2 linked regions of the Alligator mississippiensis genome follow. The protein of the gene in region 1 purifies or fractionates together with the protein of each later gene. This does not show direct contact. Links are inferred from orthologs where the notes say so. Each region holds a gene or a part of one and is shown on either strand. Other genes may lie near its edges.

Region 1 (7,346 bases):
AAACCCAAAAAACACCCTGTAACATCCCATGAGTAAAAATAGAGGAACCTAGACTACTGCTAATGCTATGACACAGAAGTAATTGCTTAACATGCATTTGGATGAATACAAGAAGGAGACCAGACCACATGCTACAGAGAAAGGCAGTCTTTTCCAATCTGATCTAAAAGTCATAAGTCTTCCTGTCCAAATTTGTCAATCAGTGGCCATGTCTACATGAGACCCTGACTGCGCAGTAGCCCAATATTAGTGCACTGTAGTGTTGCATGGCAAAAAGTGTGATGCAACACTATTGCGCAGTAGTATTAGGCACAGTAGCATCACAAAGAAGGCATTCACTAGCACCACTGTACAGTAACTTGGGTTACTCCACATTTATTATCTTTTTATGCAAGTATTAAATTAACGCACAGTAATCATTCACACACATTAATCTCATGTAGACATGGCCACTTTGCAGAAGAGCAAAGTCTTTTAGCCAGGAGGATAAAATGTTCTCATCTCCATGTGTGGACAACATCAGTTAAGGAGAGGTGTATCTCATAAATACCGTTATAAATGGTTTAGTAACATGCAGGAATACAGAATCAATAGAACTATATGGTTTTAATAAATCATGGCTTGCAGTGTTATGATTGGTGATATATATGCAGTGGTCAAGGATGCAGTCCCTCAGTAAATAATGCTATAGCATTTTAAGGTATAAACCACATTTTTCAAAGCAGCACAACACTCAAAACCACTCGTATGCCCAGTGTTTTTGGTCACATACATACATGCATGTGATATAGTCTAACAATAGAGAAAGCACTACATAATATACATTTTTTTTCATTGATAGGGATGTATTCTACAGCCATTAAAACATGTTTTTATTAAGAACTCCATGCATATCGCACTTGCTTCGATTTGGGGCCCTGCTGAAGTCTTTGTGTGGTATTAATGAACGTAACTGATATTCTACCTAAAGTGATTGGAGAGTCACATTTAGAAAAACCTGTTGATGTGTTTTTTCTTGCCAATTTATCTGGAAGGTTGTAAGACAGAATCAGTTTGAAAGAAGCTGTTGTAATGCTGTAATCAGTATTTCATAGAGAGCATCACCAAGACCACTGGTAATGAAAAATAGTATGTATGACATTTTATCACAACATGAATGTATGACATTTTACAACGTGTGTATGACGTGAAAAAATGTATGACATCTTATCACAACATGTAAAGGCAGAGGGGAAAAATCAGAATGTACTATATTTAATCACTCTTCGTATACCACATAACTATGAAGGTTAATTTCAAATATCCTGTGTTCAGGCAAGGTGTGTCTCTAGTTTTATCTAAAGGCCAGCATATAACTGGATGCCAAATTGTGTTTACTTCAAGAAAAAGGTTTGGGTCTTAGGCAGTACCTTCAGAGTTCGATGGCAAATTACTGTTGTGTCTTATATTGTGCCTGTAATTAAATAAATTCAACCTCTGATGAGAAGGGGCAGTAACATTTTTCAACATTCTTTTTCATTCTTTGTATTTCTTCAAAACAATCAATGATCCTGGCCAATTTACCCAGGGCAAAATTCACATGTCCCATCTATTAAGCAGGCACGTGCTACTTAGTGTTTTCCCTCTTTACCACATGCCAGAAGACAAGTAGTCTGGATTTTAAATAAAGCCAATATTTGTGTCAGTTGCTCAGCTTTTTTGCGATTAACTCATTAAGTTGGTCAATAGACCTTCTGTTCCACATAATCAAGGGTGCTGATATCCATTGTGAATGCAGCTCTTTATACAACAAGACAAATAAACTGGCATTCATAAGGAGTTCTAATACTTTTACTAATGAAAATGTGCAAATATTGTAGCCAGATACATTCCAGAAGACAAAGTTCACAATATGTGCTTGTTTCGAAATTCCTCAATTTTGGGGGTGCAGTTTTTCATAAAATATCGTGAACTGATAAATGAAGTGACAAACAGTTGCAGAAAGTTTTAATTTAATTCAATTTCTTGCCAGTAACTGTTTTTGTCCAGAAGTTATTCATCTTAGAACTGGATCAGATGAGCAGGGAACTGAGAAAAGCTGTTTAAACATCTCACAGGTGTTCAAAATGACCAGCCCATCTCTCTAGCTTGCAAGCATGCTGTAAACTAATCCATACATTTAAAACAAGAACATCAAACATATACCACACTTCACAATACAGTAATGGATACTTCCCTCTCCTGATATATTAGGGATGCATTAAAAACACTGTTTGGTCTAGGGTCTTCATACAGCCCTTCAGTAGAGTTTTATGCCATAATGCTCATGATAGAGGCAATACTGATTGCACACAACTGTACCATTGAGAGAGCCCATCAAATAGCAAATAAGTATCCATAGCCTTACTGGTCCTCAAGCATCAGATTGATCTTTGATATCCACTAGCAAAAATAAGAAGAGAAGAATTCACCAGCTGTCCCAAAGGAGCAATTATAAACTTTGACTAACTTACCAAACAGTGAGAGGATACCACACACTGTCCAGACAACCAAGGACATTCCCACGCTGCCGGTGTTCTCCAGAATTCCTTTAGGAGAGATGAAGATTCCTGCTCCAATGATAGTACCAATTATAATGGATATGCCTCTCAACAAAGTTACTTTTTTCTTCAGCACTACTTTTTCTTCCCTCACTGGCTCTTTGCTGTCCATAGAAGGCAACCTGCCATTAGATTGCCCCTGCACATAGCTTCCATTAGTGATTGTAGGTACAGCAGGTTTCCTAAACATGCTAGCAATCAGCACACTCAAAACAAACAAAACTTTAAAAAAAAACTTTGTGGCAGACGCTCAAGGTTTCTTCCTCTATTTGTGAGTAGTTAATTGCTCTCCGTGCCTTTCCAATGCCTTCCAAGCTGTTCCTACACACAGGTAAACCATTCAAGGTGTATTTTTACTCTTCATTGAAATCTAAATGCTATTCCCTAACATCTGAACTCTCCCAGCACAGGCTGGTGCTGCCTTGTCATTGGAAACCAGTTCTGCTTCCGCGTGGACTTGTATTTAAGCTCCTGTCATACCAAGTTACTCGTGCTGAATGATGATGCAAATTCTGCAGGTTTGCATCAGCCATCTGGGATTATTCAGCACTTTTTTCTTTCTTTCTTTCTTTTTTTTTTTTAAACGGTAGGGGTATGTTGCACAACTGACCTGAGCTATTTAGGAAGAACAAAGCTCTCACTTAAAAGGAACCTTAACCTATCAGGCAGTAGTACACTAATGTCGACACATTCAAACACACTCCCAAGTATTTAAAAGAACTAGTAGTGAGACACAAAAGCCTGTTTCAAAATACAAAGCCCTTCAGCCAGAAACAAAAAAATCAAACAGGATACGTCATCTTTGGGTCTTCTCCAATTCTTTTTTTCAATACTATCTTTTCACTACCGTATACTTCAGGGTTTTCAACTGTTGTGTTTTGTTAGGTCTAGTTAGTTTGTCTAAAAATCTATTTTCTTTACCTGAAAATTGACATAGATCAGACACACATTTACAGAGACTACATATAACCCTTTTGCTACCTTATGTTGCCTAGCAACACATCCAAATCAGACTAGTGAAAAATGTAGGTTATTTCCATACAGTCATTCTCTCGTTAGTGTTTCTGTGATGCTTACGAGGAAGTTACTGATGAGAATCCCCCTGCAGGAACTCTTGTTAACATTTACAACAAACTCTTTTCAGATCTGATGGAACATTAAAGGGAATGCAGTGACTCAGATAACAGAAATTTGCATGCGACCATGATGTTTTTCTGAGCGGATTAACTGATAAATTCCAAATTCTTTACTTTCGTGTCCTTCTAACTCACATGAATTATTTTCTTTCAAACCACCACACCAAAAGTTAAAAACAAATACGCAAACAAAAACAGTTCATAAAACAACAAAAATAGTCCCTCAAGTCTTTATAATCTCACTGTACAGAGTACTATATGCCAAAGAGGGGAATCTTACATAACTTAAGTAGCGCAGCTGCTCATAGCTTTAGATTCAATCAGCGCAATGAGAAATTATTATTGCCTCACATACTCCCTTTACAGTTATTGCTTAATTAGCTCCAAGATGGAAAAATATATTAGCTGAACATTTTAGCATTTCAAAAGACAACACTATTCTTTGAGTGTATCCTAGTAATACACTCAGTGTAGAGCTGCACTCTTAACACTCTAGTTGTAAAACCCAAATCAATATTTTAAAAGACCTGTATTTTCAGGGGTTGTGACTTGTCTGTAATAATTTGTGTGGTGGTAAAACTATCTATAAAAACCTTGGCTGGTATTAATATACAGAGGTACAAACACAAAAAACACCATTTTTGCACATCTATTTGCACTGTTACAATGTTTTAAAGAAAGTTTCACTTCTTACTCTATACTCTTTGCATATCCACCATCAGATACTGTGATTTCTCCTCTAGTCATGGGTGATGGGTGCATTCTGAATCTGGGGGGCCACCCGCAAAAGCCACCGACCCTGTCAGGGGGGACACCAGCTCTACCAACAGCATCAGTGTCAGCTGTTGGGGGGCCACCAGCCCCGTCAGGGGGGGCACATGCACCCCCATGCACTCTCTACCAGTTGCCTATGCCTCTTCCTTAGTCTGTCTACCATGTGCCTGCTCTGCGCCTAGGTGAAAGAGCAATTAATTTTTTACTGAAAAACATTGAATACCACTCAGGTACATGCCAGTGAGGTACCTGGTCAAATTATTAACCACTGGCCTGGGCTGATGTTCTTAAACTGAATTTAAAGGTGCAGAATCACAAGCACGCAGCAGGGCTTCCTTAATCAGTGTCTCAGGGATATATGTTATGTATATACCCTTATATAGTCCTTAATCAATGCCTGACATTTATTTAAATGGGAAGGTAATTAAATGGGAAGGAGCTACAGATCAAAAGAAGTATTAAGCAAGCTTCCAGACAACTCCAAGGCAGCTCCCAGCAGTTCAGAGCTCTGCCTTGAATATTTGGTATAAACTTTCAAAGGAGTTAAAAACCTTCACATTTATTTGACCACAGGTCCTCTTTGCTTTTAGGAAGATAGCAACTCACATGGACTTCTGTGTGTGTATGTATGTATCATTATTTAACCAATAAGCTGTTCAATTAAAACATAAACTATGATTTTCTATATGTCTTTAGACCTTGGGATGATTTATCAGTAATAGCACTTACAGCTTTTACTTTAACTTATGATTTCCCTAATGTTGTATGAGTCCCTTGGGCACTCTTGGTGCATAGCATTAGTTGAAGTAGCCTATGGCCTTTCTAACTTAGTATCAGTGCTAGACCAAGAGCAGAAAAGAGGTAAAGTTATTTAAAGTCATGTTTTCACATGCCTTCTTGGCTGTAGCTGAGACTGAGAGTCTCTCTGAGTTCTCCTAATTCTGTGTAGAACCTACAATACTTTGAAGGGTCCTGCAATACAAATAAGTAACAATAGCTACTTTAATAGCAGCCTTCAACTACCTGAAGGGTGGTTACACAGAGGATGAAGCCCGACTGTTCTCAGTGGTGGCAGATGACAGAAGAAGGAGCAATGGTCTCAAGTTTCAGCAAGGGATGTTTAGGTTAGTTATAAGGAAAAATTTTTTCACGAGGAGGGTAATAAAACACTGGAACAGGTTACCCAGAGTGGTTGTGGAATCTCCTTCCTTGGAGGTTTTTAAGACTTGGCTAGACAAAGCTTTGACTGAGATAATGTAGCTGGGGATGGGTCCTGCTCTGAGCAGGATTTGGACTAGATGACCTCCTGAGGTCCTTTCCAACCCTCATTTTCTATAATTCTACTCAACAAAGTCAGAACAGTCACATTCAATTTTGAACAGCAGGGTTGTTAAGTAATAGAAACAAATCAGCTAAATTAAGGAAAGGCTTAGTTCTTGACATTGAACCTTTCTGTCGTCTTCTCTTGCTTCCTCACTAATCTCTGATTAACACCTACTACTTAACATACAGTCAGTTATTACATCTGTAGCTTCACATTTTCTCACTGGTCTGCCTTGCTTGAGGCAAGACTAATTTGGAGGAAGTGGCCTGCAAAGAAAGCTCCGTTGGTCCTGAAGTCCCAATAGGCTATCCAAATCTCAGGTTTGGGCATGCATGGATAAGGGCAGCTGCACATCCATTTACTGATGGGTGGAGCCCTGACTGCTTCTTTCAGCACGCTATCAGCAATGCTGAGCTGGCACAGGGAGGAGTAGTTTACAACTAGTACAGAACTGCTGTGAATTGCTACCCCCTGGAGCAAGAAGGGAATAGGGAGAGAATTATAGGTAAGGCACACTTCTTTTCTTGCAGTGCTTTCCTGTGCAGCCCTTAGCTACTGCTGTACCAAATCCTGTGGCTGTGAGACCATGGCAAAAGTTAGCCGCTTGACATTTGGGCTCTTACAATAAAAAGTAATCATTTGTGTCATCAACATCCCAAATTCTGCACAGAAAGGAGTAAACAACCCTGGGGCACTTTTAAAGACCAGAACAAAATTAGTCTTTTTGGCAAATTAGTTGTGACTTCTCTGCCATCTAAGTCTATTTCCAAGACAAGAAGGAAACAGTGACAGACACCTTAAGATCTCACAATCAATGTCATGCTTACCCAATCTATCCTGAGTCAGATGTGACCACAAGGAGTTACTTTCACTGGTAGTTTTAATTTAAATTGTTCCAAGTTAATGCAGGATTATGGCATTAGTAAAAAAAAACACAGCACAGTACACAGCCATATTCCCTAGGGAAGTCTTCAGGCCACCTGAAGCTTAACTTGTTCACTACTGAAAACATACTCTGTTAGACCTACAATTTTAATTTTTTAAGGCAATATCTCCTTCAGGATGCTGAAAATATTTTAGAGCAACAGGAAGCTCTCCCACAGAAAAGAAAATAAGATTTCACCTCTGCAAGCAATTGGAAAGATGCACAGCATTGTCGTATTTTCTATGCTATATTTTCTATGCAGTGTCAGGTTCATTTCCTGACCAAAAGTTTTAATACATAAACTAGATAAACAATGTAAAATGGTTTCCTCCTTCTGAACCTTACTATCACCATGTCATGAAACATTTATCTTTTTTATGCCAAACAAAATTCTTAATCAAGAGTAAGCCTAATGAATTCTCTATAGGTTTTTGCCTAAAATTTGCAGATAACTGAATTAGCATGTGACCCTGCTAGACCAATGGTTCTCAACCCTTTTGGATACACGGCACCCCTTATTAGACTTAAGACATCCCTTAGAAAATGCCAGCTCTTAGTTTTCAGTAGATTTTTGACTACAGGAAAATTAAACAGAACAATTCTTCAGT
Region 2 (8,189 bases), about 110 Mb from region 1:
CTATAATGCCATTTTCACCTCCTCATTGAGCCCCTTTTCCACTCCTACCATATGCTGCCATAGCATTGTGCTAACCGACTTCCTTTCTCATGCTCGTGACAAGGTATTTATTAGAATTCACAGATTTGTTAGCATCTGACACAGCCGCACCATGAGCATTTCTGCTATGACCTCTAGGCTTTCAGCCACCCACCCCAGTGTCCACACTACCAAAGTTGGGTGTGAGACCTGTCATCACCACCAGATCAACAACAACCTCCCTCCAGACTACTGTGTCATCACAAGCCAAGGCTCGCCAGCCTGGTAGGAACAGCTCAACAGCAGTTTTGAACCCTTCCCATTAAATAATGCCAGCCCAACTTTATTAAAATGGTTTTACTTCAAACCTTTGGGAGAAGAGCCAGTATACATAGTGTAACATCCTTATGAAAATAAACTAGCACAAAAGGCTTGTTCACATTGTTTTCTGTAAGTTTGTATAAAAGATACAACAGACAGAACACAATCCCTTTCTCTTCAGTTCATAGGTAGCATGTCATCCCCATCTTTTCATTTCAGCCTGGGCTACCACTCCGGCCAGCACTTCCATGTGGATGGGCACTCTCTTCTCTCTCAACGGCATTCACAGGCTTCCATTTTCATCCCTTCAGTTCCCTTGAAATCTCCTTCACTGATCCCTTCATAGATCCCCCTAACTTACTGCATTAAATTCTGTCATCACTTCTATGTTACTCAACTACAGCCAAAAACGTAAAGGTAATAGCGTTATATGGGCACAATGGGAGTGGCAGTTCATGCCACAGAATCCCAAACTGTGATGCCCACATCCTTTCCTCCTAGTTCTGGAAACTGGATGAAGTGTAAGCCAGCTAGCTAGGGGCACAGCTAAAGTCATACCCAGCTCAGATCTCAGTAGCAGTCTAGCGACAGCAGGTTCACAGACCCTGCTTCTCAGCAGGTGTCACTCATGATTCTCACCTTTCCTTCAGCCATGTCATTTAGAGCATTTCCATGGCTTCTCCAGCATATATACTTCTAACTGGATTCTAAGTCTGCTCCAAGGTCAATCAGCCCCCTGATTAATAGTTTCCCAACTGAATGGCTAAACCCTCTGTAACTTGCATCTGAGACCTTCAGAACAAACTGGAATGTCCCGGGTGAGTCTAAACCAATATTCCCAGGAGGAATCATTCCAAACATTTGAAGAATTAAAAAAAAAATCAGGACAAGAACTGAATTTTGTGCTTCGGGCCCATCCCTTTAAATCAAGCTCCAAGTGTATTTCCAGTACCTTGTGATGCACTGTGAAAAAGGACACTTAAAATATCAACTGTAGTTGTGAAGTCTGTAGTGGCTACAGAGTCAGTCTGGAATGCACTGCATATAAGCTAAAATATACCACAGCTATAATTTAATACCTTGCTAGCCCTAAAAAGAAAATTCTCTGTGGGGCATATGTTAAGCTTGATATGTTTTTGTGTTAACTATACCAAGGACTAGATTTTTTTTCCTTACATCTCTTACTGTAAAAATATTAGCCTTAGAGTAACTTCAAACAGTGACTATTTATGGCACTCCTGTTTATGGCAGTTCGTAAAAGGAAAAATGAATTGAGCAAGTGATAACAAACTCTGACTGAACATGTGTATGCTATATAAACATTAAGCAAGGTTCTAGCCACACCTCAGATATACCTTACAAGTGTGTAGCTCCTCCCTGAATATACATGCATTGTCCAGGTATCTAACTGCAGCATGAAGCTTACATTTAGTATCATGGGAAGAATATTTCAGACTGTAATACAACGTGACTTATCCCGAAATCAGGGATGAGTCTGGAACTGTTCGATCTGACACACCCATTCATAGATCTTGCGCCATAGGAGCCATTCTAACACTTACTTATTGAAATAAGCAAGAGTTTCAATATAAAAAAAGAAAAAAACTGCGTCGATAACGTCTATAAAAATATGTGATTTGATAGATTCCTAGGAACTGGTTAATGGAAAAAGGTAGAAGAATAATTGATTCTCTGCCAAAGCACCTCAAGGCAGTTTCTATTACTATGGGACTCTATTAAAGGCATAGCAATTTCCCCCAAACACTGTTGTGCCTGCACCACATAAAAAATTAAGAGCATTTTGTCATTATGGGCATGTGATTTTTATTTTATCATATGTGTTGTGCTTTCATTTGTGAAAACAGGGGATTTATTCCCATATTTTCAGGCAGACATCAGAACTATAGAAAGCTGACACCGAAACAACTGAATTGCCCAGTTCCATCAAACTTCGTTGTTTGCTTGAAAATCTTACCAATTAAGCCCAAAATAAAAAGAAGAGAAAAAAGAAAAAGGAAAAAAAGCCCACCAAAAACCTGAAAGCAACCCCCACAAATCCTTTAAATATAGTTTAGAAACATGGAGCTTTACTATAAAAACCTCTCCACATTTCATCATAGAAGTTGAATTTCCTGCCTACCCTAGCTTTTGCATTAAAATCCAGTATGTAATAGCCTTAGTTCAGCTTGTATGATCCTAAGAATACAGCTATTGTATGCCAAGAGGGGTTCCCCACCACCTCCTACAAACTGTCGGTTTTACAAGAATGGTAGAGCAATGTACATACATAATGGTAGTTTCTATTGTTGAATTTGAACAGCTCTGCTAAAGATCAATTCCTTATCATACTTGTTAGTTTAAACTTTGAGTAACAGTTTAGTTCTCAAAGTACTTTTAGCGGCTGTACGTTACCAAATACTGGTTAGCTTTTAAGTAAAAAGAAAAACAGCACAGGTTGCATTTCTGTCTCAGTTTCACCAGAGAATAACTTAAAAACAATAAAACTTGATTCAAAGAGACATGCTTATGTGGCAAAGAGGCTGCTAACCAGCTGGCTGGATGGTTGCCGCTGTCCGAAGCAGAAAACTTAATAGCAAACATTAGCATTTTCATTCATACAGTACTTACGTGTCTGTGCTTCACAAAGCTTCAGAAAACATAATCCAAAAGTTGCCCACAACAAGAACTTGACCATTGTTTCCTCAGAGTTACTTTTGCAAAAAACTCGACAGATCCTTGCAAGCTGCACAAAGACAAAAAGCCCTAACTCTTGTTGAGCCTGCAGTCAATGACTCTGAAGTTTGCTGCAGTTTTTATTCCAAAGAATTGAAGTAGTGACATAACAGGGAGGGGGAGCTGAAAGTCACACCCATGCTGCACAAAAAAGAAAAAGTGACTGAGCAAAGGGGAAGCTACTACTTCTGAGTAAGCAGCAATAGCTGACTTCTAGAGGCACTAAATCACTTTTACTCAGAGCACTACAAGTAAAAGACAGCTTAGTGCTTCTCTGGTAGACATTTTTTGCAATCTTTCTTGAATCATCTCAGAAAGGAACTGTGTTATTAGCTTCCACTTCCACAGCCTATATTAAAAAATAAGAAAATAAAAACATATCTATGTTACCGAAACCCGTCAAAATGTCTACAACTCTCTGAATATTTCTAAATAACACTTTTTTCTTTCCCCCAGCTCTCATTTCATCACTGATGAATAAACACTAATCTCTCATATCCATGTGGGGCACAGGTCATGGGTTTTCTTCACACTAGGTACATCTACATATACTAGTAATGTGTAGCAATAAACTCCAGTACATAGGGTGCCAGAATTTATTGCTCCAGGGTGCCACATCTTCACATGCACCCAAGACTGCAGCACGTTGAGCTGGGTCAAAGCAGCTCCGGCTGGCAGGGGGGTCAGCCTGCCAGTCCAGGGCTGCTCTGACCCAGCTCAGCACACTGCAGAGGGGCTGTCTGGGGCATGAGGGTGCTCCAGTGAAGAGCTAGTTGGCAGGCAGCCCCTGCACTGAAGCACCCTCATGCCCCAGCCAACCGCAACAGCATCTACACTTGTGTTGCTGCGGAGTAAAAACTCTGCTGTAGGTTAGTACTTGTGTTTGCAAGTACTAACCTGAGGTGGAGTTAATTAGTTTGCTCCATCCTAATAGCACTGCATGTGTAGAGGCTGAGGCATTTACTGAGCAGTTAATTAGGCAACTCCGCAGTAAATGTCTTGGGTAGACATGCCCACCGATCCCTTTATGTGGCTAGGGAGTTCAAAAAGCCGGAGCCTGAACTGATTCAACCTTTGTGGGTTAGTCGAACCTGGCTAGGCTGAACGGGCTTGTAACTGCACAGACATGCGGGAACATGCCTGCAGTTGCTCAGGCCAGGAGCTGGGGGTGCTAGAGCCCACCCTTGACTGCAGGGAAGCTGTGCTGGGGGGGCATGGCCAGTCCTGGCAGAACTGGCCAGAGAGGGGTTTAAATCCCCCTTCCCTGTCCCACTAGCAGGGACCTGAACCAGGTCTGCCGCCCCCTCCCTTTCACTGCTGCAGCCACGAGCCAGCATGGCCCCTGAGGAGGGGAGAGGTTATTTCCCTCTACCCCCACTGCCCCCAGGGGACCACAGCCAGGTCTGCCTGCCCCAACCGCTACCAAGCAGCAGAATATGCCCCCTCCTGTCCCTTCTGCCAGATGCCAGAGAGAATAACCCTGGTCCCTGCCCCCCCACCCCCAGCACCCAAGGGGCCCTGTCAGCCAGTGTCAGGTGGGGGCTGGCTCGGGAGCAGGCTTCCCAAGCCAGCTCAGAGGTGGTGGCATGGCCCGAGCCCAGCAGCCACCACTGCCACCCCTCAGCCCTGTGCAGCACCTGGGGCTGCAGCCTAACAAGCAACTGAGGGCTGGCTGGGGCAGTGGGGCTGTTCTGCCGCCCTTGGCTCCAGCTGCCACTGCCATGGCCACACCATGCTGTGCTGGCTGGGGGAGGGTGGGAAGCTTCTGCCCCATGCACGGAGCTCCAGCTCCAGCTCCCGGACGCCTTGGAAGGTGCTAGGGTGAGAGGCTTCAGTCCAGGGGGCTGTTGCCAGAGCTCCATGTGTGTAGCACAAGCCATGGTGCTGAAGCTTCTTCCTCCCCCCGCACTGCCTCCCAGAGCAGCAGGAATGGGAGGGGGAGTCACCGTGGCAGGCGAGGGAAAGTCAGCTTGGCTCAGCAGGACTTTCTCCCCTTGCCTCCAACAGCGGCTCCTGCTGCACCACACAGCACTGCTTGGGGCTGCGGTAGCTTCCTTCAGCCTGGTGGCTTCAACCTGAACTGGGCTGAAGCCACCAAGCTAAAGGAAGCCCCAAGTGGCACTGTGCAGTGTGGCAGGAGCCACAGCTGGAAGCAAGGGGAGAAAGCCCTGCCGGGCCAAGCCGCATTCCCCTCACCTGCCATGGTGACTTCCCCTCCCATTCCTGCTGCTTCTGAGCTGCTCTGGGAGGCAGCTGGGGGAGAGGAACTTCAGCCCCGCAGCTTGTGCCCTATGTGTGGAGCTCCAGCGGCAGCCTCTGGACTGAAGCCTCCCGCCCCGGCACCTTCCACCTTCCAAGGCATCTGGGAGCTGCAGCTGGAGCTCCACACATGGGGCAGAAGTTTCTCTGCCCTGGGACCCTGCCAGTGGGACAGGGAGGGGGAATGATACCCCTCTCTGACCAGACCTCCAACCCTGCCCATCCTTGCCTGTCCCAGCTCCAGCTGGGGAGCAGAGGGGCAGGGATAACACTGCTGAGCTTAAACAGAGCCCAGCCCAGAGAGCATGCCAGGATGCTGGGGGACTCTGGTTTAAGTTAAACCAGGAAGAGCTCTGGGACAGACATTGCATAAACCAGTTTGAGCCAAATCAGTTAAGTCTGATACTACTTTCAACCAGGTTAATCTGAAACTGGTTTCAGCCATTTTGAAACTGGTTTATGTGCACTGAATGTATGTTCTGTTGCAGGTTTAAACCAATTTCTGATCACTTAAACCAGTTTATGTGCAATGTCTGTCCCTAGCCTATGTGTCTCCATTCTGATCTCCAGGTACAAGGGGAACAGTCAGTCTCTCCAGGGCCCATTATCGACTTAGCCTCTGGGCTGAAGCTGCTCTAACAAAGTTGATGTTTACTGCCAACTACAACAGAGAGCTTTTTTGTGCCGCTGACATCTAGGAATTGTGTTGGGGTGATTCATTACTTGTATGGGTAGAAAGGAAGGGATTATTTATTTCTCATTCCCTAAAGACAATAGAAGAGTCAGTGAAAGTACAGCAGCTTTTGAAGATCACATATTCATTTAGAATTTAATGCAGGGAAAGGCCTGGAGATCATTATACAAGGGAGAAGTACAACATGGGTATTAGGAGCATATACCACCACCCCTCTAACAATTTACTATAGTCTATCCATACCTTATTCTCTATTCTGAGATGTGATTTATACTACTGGCTACCGCAAAGAAAACTTCTGTCTTCTTGGAACTACAATGAGACTACCAAGAATATATCTATCACCTTAACAATCAGGAGATGGCAATGACTTTTGTTCATTAATGATCTGGGCTGGAATTCAGTCAGCCCCTTAGAGATGAAAGATTCTATATCATATTACCAATCCAATGAACCAGCAATTCCACACTTTAAACAGCTTTTTAATTAACTTGTAATACAAACAATTGAAAAATACAGAACATGGCCTCTCCCAGCCACAAGCATAAGAATTTTACACAAAGAGCATTTCAGGACTTTGACTTTTCTTTGACTTTTGACTTAAACATAACTGGCTAACCCTTCATTGGGCTCCCTCCCAACTTTCCATATGTTTAGCAATTTTTAGTTTCTTCCTTCTAGCTTAACAAATCTAGAGTATCTGATGGGGTAATGTAAAAGTGGATGTCTTCCTTCAAACACCAAAGTTTTTTTCTTTTTTCTTATGTATCTTATACAATAAATCTATTTTATCCTGTTAATTTGGTCACACATTTAAGCTAATTGTTTCAATAGAAAAAAAAGGATTTCTTATAGGTCTTACAATAATTTTCATATTCTTCTACCTCTAAGTTTAAATGACAGGTCAAATATTCAAAGGTAATTAAGAATTCAGATAGGAACATAGTGGGATTTTCAAAAGTAGGTACACATATCACTTGGAGTAAATTAGTTATATTTTCATCTTCAGGTATCACCTACCTTTTACAAAATGGCACTACCCATCTAACTAGATTAGACTCAGGGGAAGGGAAAATTACCTAATTATATTTTAGAACCCTCTGAAAATGACATGACATATTTTCCTAGACAGTTGAATTATCATTTTTAATGTCCTAAATCTCAGTTTCCCCATGTTAGAAACAAAAGACCCAGTTCATAGGTAATGTAAAGTGGAGAGTTCCACTGACTTCATAGGCAATACATTGATTTCCTAGCAGCTGAAAGATCCATCTGTCCCACTGCCTTATTCTATTAGAAATGGGTATCCTTGACTTTTTAATGGCCTAACTCCCAGTCCTATTCTTGATATCATTAAATCAAAACTCCATTAATCACCCAGACCTGAATATTGTTTGTCCTGCATCTTGGATGATCATAATCAGGGATCCTGGTTTTCTCTGTTTAAAAATCACAAATTCTCTGATTAAAAAAACCTAAAAAAATCGCAAATTCTCTCATTAAAAACCCCCAAAATCTGCAATTTCCCATGATTAAAATGAAATGCCTTATATATATATATATATATATATATATATATATATATATATATATATATATATATAGGTATCAGTTGAACACAATGTTTTATTGATATATTTACAATTTTAAAGTAATTTGGAAGCCTACCAGTGCCCCAATCACTATAATAAAATAAATTCTAAATACCTATACATATTGCCCCTTGATTTTGGGGATTTTTATCATGGAAAATATGAGTTCCTCCTGCCCCCTTTCCTTGCCAGGATGTGGGTCCAGCTGCAGCTGGCCACTGCTTTGTGGTGCTGAGTAGCCTTGATATGCCGGTGCCCTGTCCATATCATTGCCCCTCTCTCCCCATCCACAGACCCCCCACCCCTGCTAGTGCTCGTCACTCCCCACCCACAGCTCCCCAGCTCTACCAGTGCCCCTCACTTCCCAGCTATAGACCCCTGCCCCTGATGGTGCCCTTCACCCCCCACCCATAGCCCCCCAGCCCCTACAGCCCTGCCAGAGGGGGCCCCCAGCTGCCAGAGTTATGGGGCCAGGGTCCTGGGTCCACAGCCACCTGCCCCCCACAGCAGTGCCCAAGCCCCGGCCGCTGCCTTCAGGAGGTGGTGGCCGCTACAGCAGAGCAGAGTGCAGA

Evidence for each region.
Region 2: the proteins of SLC7A11 (region 1) and CD44 purify together in Homo sapiens (affinity purification with western blotting; 3 studies listed by BioGRID and IntAct, with this or other methods). This does not show direct contact. The link is inferred for Alligator mississippiensis from reciprocal best matches to the Homo sapiens genes SLC7A11 and CD44.

The regions. Positions count from the first base shown.
Region 1 is NC_081825.1:106,127,695-106,135,040, reverse strand, and holds the start of SLC7A11 (cystine/glutamate transporter), read right to left. Parts: upstream 3,221-7,346; 5' UTR 2,770-3,220; coding exon 2,493-2,769; intron 1-2,492. UniProt on the Homo sapiens protein: Heterodimer with SLC3A2, that functions as an antiporter by mediating the exchange of extracellular anionic L-cystine and intracellular L-glutamate across the cellular plasma membrane.
Region 2 is NC_081825.1:218,155,745-218,163,933, reverse strand, and holds the start of CD44 (CD44 antigen), read right to left. Parts: upstream 3,251-8,189; 5' UTR 3,035-3,250; coding exon 2,968-3,034; intron 1-2,967. UniProt on the Homo sapiens protein: Cell-surface receptor that plays a role in cell-cell interactions, cell adhesion and migration, helping them to sense and respond to changes in the tissue microenvironment.